Linked DNA regions of Canis lupus familiaris. The protein of the gene in region 2 interacts with the protein of the main gene of each other region in a pairwise test. Links are inferred from orthologs where the notes say so. Each region holds a gene or a part of one and is shown on either strand. Other genes may lie near its edges.

Region 1 (4,590 bases), on a different chromosome or scaffold from region 2:
GCTGTAGGTTTTAGAATTTTTGCAATTAAGCAAAAAATCAAGCATAAGTTTTGGTACAAAATGTTAAGGGACAGTCGTGGCCTGTATTTGTGCCAGTAGAATAAAGCACTTGTAGAATAAAGAGGATACTCACCATGTCACCCTGTCTAGTCTTGTTTGCTGTTTCAGAGATCTTTTGATTTTCTCAAACTTAAGGGTCTATTAACAAGAGGTAATGTCACCCAGTTTTGGAAATGAGTAAGGCGGAGTCCTGGGTGAATTAATTAATTAGTATAACTTTTTAATAATGCCCCCAGGACTTTTAATAAGAAACAAGTCCTAGAAAAACTTCCAGGGAAAAGAACATCATATTTATCCTGTACTAAAAGAAAAAAAAAATCTAAGGAAGTCATATATATTGTACCACTGGAATCTTAATTACTTCAGGACAAATGTATAAATTCAAATTATAATCTGAATACTATACCCTTCTTTTTCTTAAAAAAAAGATTTTATTTATTTATTCATGAGAGAGAGAAAGAGAGAGAGAGAGAGAGGGAGGCAGAGACACAGGCAGAGGGAGACGCAGGCTCCATGCAAGGAGCCTGACATGGGACTCGATCCTGAGTCTCCAGGATCACGCCCTGGGCTGAAGGCACTAAACTGCTGAGCCACCCGGGCTGCCCTATACCCTTCTTCCTAATTCAGTTAAATGAGAGATTAGTGCATCATATACTATATTCATATAAGTATATTTCTGGTAAAATTATTCCATCAGATACCATAAGACCCATTGCTGCTCTGGGCTCTTTGAAAATTATAAACCTCTTCCATCAGGGAAGAGAAATAATGCAGGTGACATCAATCATGGTTCCAGAACTCATCTTACAGTGAAATCCTTGACCCATCTCTTGGGGGTCCTGAAATTTCTCTTATTGCTTTCAGAAAAATATTAATGTACAATCTGGAGCCCAAAGGAAGCATCCCTAGTTTTGATAGCTCCTAAGACTAGTATGCCTATAAACCAGGCATAACCTATATTTGAATCATCGATCCATGTTTACTTCTTAATTGTTTAACAACAAATCAGTTAACATTTTTCTGAGGCCCACGATGTGGATATATGTTCTGAATTATTTTAGCAAATAAAGACAATGACAGAACTCTTTGTCCCTGACCTACTTTGAATCTGAGAGCCAAAGGCTGTCTAAAATCAACTAGGCCATGGATGGGGGTTGGGGAAGTGAAGCATTGCAGAGGCAACTGGCACAAGTCCTGTGGCTAGAGGGAGATTGACTAATTCAAGGAAATGAAAGGTTTGTGGATTACAGGAAAAAGAAAAAGGGGGGGGGGGGAGAGATCAGACAAAAGAATAGAGAAGTGTAGGACAGTTTTAACGTAGTTTCTCTCTACCTGCGTTCTATGTTCTCAAAGGCCAGAGTATGGACTATCTTGTCCAGGACAAGGCACTTAACTGGTGCTTGCTGACTGAACAAGATGTGTAGGGTTTTATTTCCCTCCTTTCCCATAAAGAACAGCTCCCGTACAAATGTGAAGGCTGCTTCGTCTCAGATTCAGCCACTTATTTATTTTACATGCACCTTTTCTATCCAGCTGCAGAAATCCACTCATTTTCCCTTTTCCTTAATTTTCATTCCTTGCGTTTATTCAGTGTTCAAAGCCCTGCAGTTGTCCTGCTCGCGAGCATGGTATTAAGAGAAAGTTCTGCTATTAAGAAAGTTCAAGGATGATAAAGGGAATCATAAATCGTTTGACAATTTCCTCTACGGAAGTGACACTTGTACTAATCCTGTTTCTCAAATTGCTAAACCAGGAGAAACAATACCTGCCTGTTCCTGGAGCTGGGTAGTAGCTATTTTACCACTTCCAGGAATCTCTGTCTAAATAAAACCACCTGGGAGCCAGATAATAATCTCGGAGAAGCAGGGACTTTACTATTAAAAATACTAAAAGCGGGACACCTGAGTGGCTCAGGCGTGGAGCGTCTGCCTTCGGCTCAGGGCGTGACCCCGGGATCCGGGATCGAGACCCGCATGGGGCTCCTTTCGGGGCGCCTGCTTCTGTCTGTCTCTCTCTCATGAATAAATAAATAAAATCTTAAAAAAAAAATACCAAAAGCTAACCCTAATGAGAACTTTCTGCAGCGCGGGACACAGCTCCGACAACAGCTTTTACACTAGTTAAGTATCCTACTCTTAACTCTCGGAACTCATTTTTGACCTTGACGCAATTTCAGAGATGGAGCCAGCAAGGTCCAGAGATGAAGAAACGGGTCGGAGTCCGCAGGAATTAAGTAGCAGAGGCGGGGGGTGCACCCAGGCAGGTGGACGGACTCGGGAGCCTCGGGTCTAGGGTCCCCCTGTGGGCGGTAAAGCACCTGCCTCCCTCCTGCCCCCGCGCGCGGAGCTCCAGGTGGCTCGCACAGTTTGGGGGGGGGGGCAGCCTTCCCAGTAGTGAATACTCACTGTTAAATGACAGCTCCGAGGGGCCTGCGAATCGCCCTTCTAACCCCCCGCGCACCCCCCGCACCCCCCGCACGCTGCCGGCAGCCGCAGCTCAGACTCTCAGCGCCGCGGACAGGTGTTCACCCACGGGGCGCGGGCAAACCTGAGCCCTGGGGCGGGCCCGGCGGGGGGGGTGCCGCAGGCGGGTCGCTGCTCGGGGGTCGCTCCCCGGGCCGCCAGGACCCCGGCCCCCAGCCTGTGTCCGCGCGCCCCGCACAGGTACAGCCCCCCCCACCCCGCGCCTGGCTGGGAGCCCGCTGCCCGCCCACCTGTGGCCGCCGCGTGCGGATGCTCCAAGACCCCGGCCCCCAGCCTGTGCCCGCGCGCCCCGCACAGGTACCGCCCCCTGCCCCCGCCCCCTTCCCCCCCGCACACCTGGCGGGGAGCCCGCCGCCCGCCCACCTGTGGCCGCCGCCAGGACCCCGGCCCCCAGCCTGTGCCCGCGCGCCCCGCACAGGTACAGCCCTCCCGCCCCCCCCCCCCGCGCGCCTGGCCGGGAGCCCGCCGCCCGCCCACCTGTGGCCGCCGCGTGCGGATGCTGCCCGGATGCTGCCAAGGGCGAGGCCCCGGAACCTCGGAGCGACCTTGCGCCGCCGAGGTCTGACGGTTTCGTTTCCCGGTGGCGGCGTCCACGCCCCTGCAGGTGCCCCGAGCGCGCGCTCGCCGCTGGCCCCGCTGCGCCCCCTGCGCCCTGCGGGCCCTGACGTCTGTTCCGGGGCCCCGGGCAGCGAGGCGCCGGGAGGCGGGGGCAGCCGGGCCCCGGGAGTCACGGAGGGGGCGGGGCCGCCGGGGTGGGGTGGGGGCGCGGGCCTCCCGGGAGCTTCCGCCGCCCGGAGCCTGCAGCGCCGCTGCGGGTGCAAACGGCCCGGGGTCGAGCTCGCTTTTCTTCATGCGGCTTCTTCTCTTTAGCTCTCTCCGTCCTGGCTCGCTGTCCGTCTGGCTCTCTCAGTGTCTGTCTCTCCCTCTCTCCGCCCATCCCTCATTCTCCACCAAAGGCCGCTAGCTAGCTAGCTAGTTATTTATTATTTATTTATTTATTTATTTATTTATTATTTATTTATTTATTATGAACTACACATTGACTTTTTTTTAAAAAAGATTTTATTTATTCGAGAGAGAGAGAGAGAGAGAGAGGCAGAGACACAGGCAGAGGGGGAAGCAAGCTCCCTGCAGGGACCCCAACGTGGGACCCTATCCCGGGACCCCAGGATCAGGCCCTGGGCTGAAGGCACATGCTAAGCCGCTGAGCCCCCCAGGGGTCCCCAAGGCTGCTAACTTTTAAGAGTCAAACTGACTAGATGTGTTTAGAGTGTTTAATTTTTCTGCCATCTACCCCCACCCCCGCCACTGGCAAACAGGCTCAATAAACTCATATTGGAAAAAAACACACACACACACACACAAACGAACTCATATTGCTTAAACTGAAGGATTCATTGATTCTTTTTTTTCCTTAAAGTGTTTTATTTACAAAAGTAATACAGGATCTTCCAAACAATAAAGCTGAATATGGATAAATAAAGCGAAAGGCGTCTTGGGCAGCTCTCCTCTCCTTTTCTTCCCATGACCCTAGCAACAGATACTTGAAGAGTAAGGGAGGAAGTAGGCGGGAGGAAGGAAGAGGGGGTGGGAAGGGAGAGCAATAGAAAATGAAATTGAGAAAAGAAGTAAAAAGGAGGGGGGAAACCTGCCTCTTAGATCTGAATCCCTTCTCATTCTCCGTGACTTTGTGCAAATTACTATCTCTGTGCCTCTTTTTTAATCTGTAAAGTGAGGGTAGTAGTAGTATGCGTCTCATAATATTTTTATGAGGATTGAAGAAGTTAAAATATGCAAGAAGTTTAGAGTGATGCCTGCTAAGGAGTAAGCGCTGAATAAATATCATTATATATACACACATATATACACACATGTACGTAGTGTTTCTTTACATAAAGAAGATTGTTTCATGCAGACTGTTATCTGGGGCATGTTCTTTTCTCCTTTAGGATGCATCTTAGAAATCCCCTTGCCTCTGATACTGAATGGTCTCGATCTAATCATCTGGGTGCAGTTTATTTCCTGTTTTATAATTACAAATTATGCT
Region 2 (4,138 bases):
AAAGAGACTGTCAAGTTATGGTACCAGATGAGAAAGAACGCTGGTGGTCTGTTGACAGTGCCTATATAACAACAGACAAGACAGCTTTGAAATTCAATGTACCAGTTTCAACTGCAAGAACACATTCCTCCTTGAGTTTTAATGTATTCTATTAAAGATGGTAAAAGACTGGGAAGTACTAAAACAGGCACACAGGACTTAGTAGTACAAGGGCAACAGAAACCAAACAGTCGGGTTTCCAGTGTGTGCAAGGAGTGGTTATTGACAACTGGTGTGGTGATGCTTAGAGAGTCACAGTCAGCATAACTGGGGAGGGGCTCTCTGGGGCATCCAGGTCAGTCCCCTGATGGATGGGGAAGTGCAGGGAGGTGAGGTGGTAGTTCAGGGCTCAGCTCTTGGTCTCCCTGGTGGGTGGAGTAGGTGCCAGGGTTTTTGGGCCAACATTATTGATCCTACGATAAAAAGTATGCCTGAATATTAAGAAGTGCATTGACAAATATACATAGACTTTTAAAAACTCACAAGTGTGTTAAACACTAAGCCATACTTGAACACATGGTATAGTTCAAGGTCACATAAGGGGTTCTTGCAATTTTTTCTCTTTACATACTGTGTCGGCGTGCAAATTAACGGGTGAAACAGGCAAACCCTGTGGTCAGCAGCTAGTGTGCGCTGTGTAGGAATTTGAAATCATGGGTATGAGAGAGAGAAGCTAAATTCTTGATTTTCTTTTTCTTACACAGGTTTCAGCAAGCAGATGGTGGAAATCCTTAACAAACATAATATTCAGTTTAGCAGTTTTGATATCTTCTCAGATGAAGAAGTTCGCCAGGGCCTCAAAACCTATTCCAACTGGCCCACCTATCCCCAGCTCTACGTTTCTGGAGAGCTTATAGGAGGACTTGATATAATTAAGGTTAGAACTGAGAAGTCTGTATCTGGTAAAGCATTTTCATTTACAGCACACTTTTCTAAGTGCAGTAATGAATCTAGAGTGTAAATCCCTTAAGAATATTTGTATTTATGAATATGAACCTGGAATAGATCCAATTATTTCTGATGAGGTTGTTGATATTCTGTATTACTGTATGATTCTGGAGATTTCTGTTGTGAATGTTTTCTTAAACTTACACATGTGTTTATTTCAGGAGCTGGAAGCATCCGACGAACTAGATACAATTTGCCCTAAAGCTCCCAAATTAGAGGAAAGGTAAGTGTATTCAAAGTTTCAAATAGTCTGCCATTTATTACTTTAAGTATATCTCATAATTCTTGGTTTTTGCATTGCTTTTTCCATATAGAAGTCGGGGATTTGTTTTTGTATCTCAAGGTCATAAATAGGTTGTTTGCAGTCAGACTAGCCATGAAAACTTGGGAAGGTCTCATTTGCACTGGAGAAATTTTTACACCAAATTAAAGATTAGGTGGAGGATATTCTTCGTTATTTATAGAAATGTCATTGTGTCAGTGGAACAACTCAAGTTTACTTCTTTCTCTGTGTTTCGGAGCTGGGATCCAGTGGTCCTGGTCCTCAGGTTTCAGAAGCAGTCGCTGTTTGTGGCATCATCAGAGTACGGAGTGTGAGGGGTGCCTAGTGTGAGGAGTGCAGGCTATGTGTGTGTTACATGTGTAAACACTTCAGGGTTTCACGCTGTCTTTTTAACCATGATAACTTAGAATTCAAGGAGATTTTGGAGCTGTGAAATTGGTCTTTGTTTTATGAAGGATCTCAATCAGCTTTTAAAGATTTTGTCTTATGGAAATTTTGGACTTTGGCCTGTAGGGAGGCTTAAAGGGATTTTTATTGTAATAAATTTGAATTAATGTAGAGGTTTAAAGAATTTATTTTGAAATACATCAGCATATCAGCCATTCATAGTTGGGGCTTGAGTCTGTGAGGTGAAATTTCCTCTTGTAATTTTATCACCATTCAGCATTTTGAGAATCTCTTGAAGTGTTTAATAATAAATAGCTCATTTATTTATCCTTGATTAGTAAATAGTATCCCATATATGTCATACTGACTTGTAAGTTCCACATTTTCTCAAAAGATTTATATCCTTTCCTGCCTTTTTGATAGGACAGTGATGCTTCTAGTACCTTTGTTGACTCTAGGTCCCCAGTTGTGTTTTTTTAGGGTTGGGGGAGGGGTAGAGGGGAGAGGATCTCAAGCCCACTCCACACCCAGTGCAGAGCCTGATGCGGGGCTTGATTTTGTGACCCTGAGATCATGACCTGAGTGAGACCAAGAGTTGGATGCTCACTGACTGAGCCACCCAGGTGTGCCCCCAGTTGCATTCTTTGCTGTATAACCTGAGTGGCTTGTGGAAGTTGTATAGCCTCAGGAGTTCGCTGGGCTTTGTGTGTGCTTACATCTGCTTTCAATCCAGTTTTCTGTCTTGACTACACTTGCTGTTGTTTGTGTCTCTGTCTTCATCAGATCTCTCTTTTCCTAATGTGGTGTGTCTATTTCCTTGTGGCCTCAGACACCAAAGATAACTGGCTAGAGTTACAGAGAGATCTTGTAGAGAGATATATTCATTGTGTTTTGTGTAATCATTTAAAGTGCTGCCAGAGTGCATAGAGCCAGAGCTGGAGTTCCTGGGTCTGGCGATTGTCTCTGTGGGTGGGACAGAGGGACTTGTTTCGGTTTTCTGGGTCCAGATTGTTGGGTTACTTTAGGTGACTGATGACAATTAGCACCATATTCTTTTCTTTTTCTGAGAATCAACCCAGCGTACTCTCTCCAAAGTGGATGTGACATAGCTGTGAGCGTGAGTTGTGGGTTTCATTTGTGATAACTTTGTTCTCTGAGGAGGTGTTGAGCTGTGAGAGTGACCCACAACACCAGTGGGAGGAAGATGGGGTGACTGACCACCATGGGGCTCAGAGGGTCTTGGGTAGCCCGTGTCCCGATGGGGACTGTCCTGAGATGGGTGACTGAACTTCAGGCTATATGCAGATGCTCCTGACAGCAAGTTAGAGCACGGGGTTTGAAGGCTTGTAGAAAATGGGAAGCACAGAGTTAGTATGGGAGCAATTGATTTGAATAGCTGGTGTTGGTTGGTGTTCCAGCACTTGACAGTTCCCCTCCCGGCATGACCTCATGGATATCGGGGAGTGTGGAGCTGTGTGCGACCTCATGGTAAAGAAGGCAGCACACAAGATCTGGTTTTGGAAGTTGTGGGTGGGCTCTGTATACAGGCCCCTTCTTGAACAATTCCTTATTGAGTTGGTTATTATTATTTTTTTAGTGCTGTGAGTTGATGGGCTTGAATTGCAACTCAAAGGAACATTCGTTGCCTTAAAAGCCATATTGTGTTTTATGGTGGCTCAGGGAGAGAATGAAATAAAGGAAAATGTCAATGCATTTGCTTGTTTAATGCCACTCAGAGCTGTGAACTATCATCCTGCTATCCCTCAAATATGCATGTTACTCCTGAAGCGGAGCAAAAGTGGTGTTTAATAATTGAGCTGAGCCATTTTATATCAATTTTCTCTCTTTAGGCTCAAAGTACTGACAAATAAAGCTTCTGTGATGCTCTTTATGAAAGGAAACAAACAGGTAAAGAACTCAAAAATGGTTTTATTTGTAATTTCTTTTGATGTTAACATCTTCAACAAGGGGACACTTAAATCTTTCTTCCTAGCTGTGGCTAATGAAGCTGTGGTGGCATCAGGAAGTTATCCAGGCCTTAATTGGTGCTTATGGAGATCAAACAAAGTAATCTACATTTTGCTTGACTTTATCATCAACATCTCAGTGGGGTGCATTTCTTTCTGCTGCCAAACTTGGTCAACACTGTTCACTCTGTCCTGGTTCTGTTAGTTGCTATCCTGTCCCCATCCGACTGAGGCCGTGGGCTCGTGTAATGGGCAGTTTGGTCCCAATACTTCCCGAGTAGAGGGAGCCCCAGAGCTCTCAGGGTGCACAGCCTTAGATCATCCTTTAAGAAGTCAGCGATGGAGAAATACACCCCATGGCATCGTGTGTGTTCAGCATGAGTTTGATGAATGAGTAAAACAGTTTGGCAGTTCTTATTTATAATGAGATGGTTCCTGTAGCTTTTTGGATGATGGTACATATTGGTTGTGCATCATTTTGAGTAGCAGGTTTGATAAATCACTCCTACCAACA

What was found.
Region 1: the proteins of GLRX3 (region 2) and PLSCR1 interact in binary tests that used the Homo sapiens proteins (3 or more experiments, as listed by UniProt). The two-hybrid records come from large-scale screens. The link is inferred for Canis lupus familiaris from reciprocal best matches to the Homo sapiens genes GLRX3 and PLSCR1.

The regions. Positions count from the first base shown.
Region 1 is NC_049244.1:42,190,296-42,194,885, forward strand, and holds the start of PLSCR1 (phospholipid scramblase 1), read right to left. Parts: upstream 3,200-4,590; 5' UTR 3,021-3,199; intron 2,979-3,020; exon of another isoform or gene 2,907-2,978; intron 1-2,906. UniProt on the Homo sapiens protein: Catalyzes calcium-induced ATP-independent rapid bidirectional and non-specific movement of phospholipids (lipid scrambling or lipid flip-flop) between the inner and outer leaflet of the plasma membrane resulting in collapse of the phospholipid asymmetry which leads to phosphatidylserine externalization on the cell surface.
Region 2 is NC_049249.1:39,110,501-39,114,638, forward strand, and holds part of GLRX3 (glutaredoxin-3), read left to right. Parts: intron 1-743; coding exon 744-916; intron 917-1,148; coding exon 1,149-1,210; intron 1,211-3,507; coding exon 3,508-3,565; intron 3,566-4,138. UniProt on the Homo sapiens protein: Together with BOLA2, acts as a cytosolic iron-sulfur (Fe-S) cluster assembly factor that facilitates [2Fe-2S] cluster insertion into a subset of cytosolic proteins.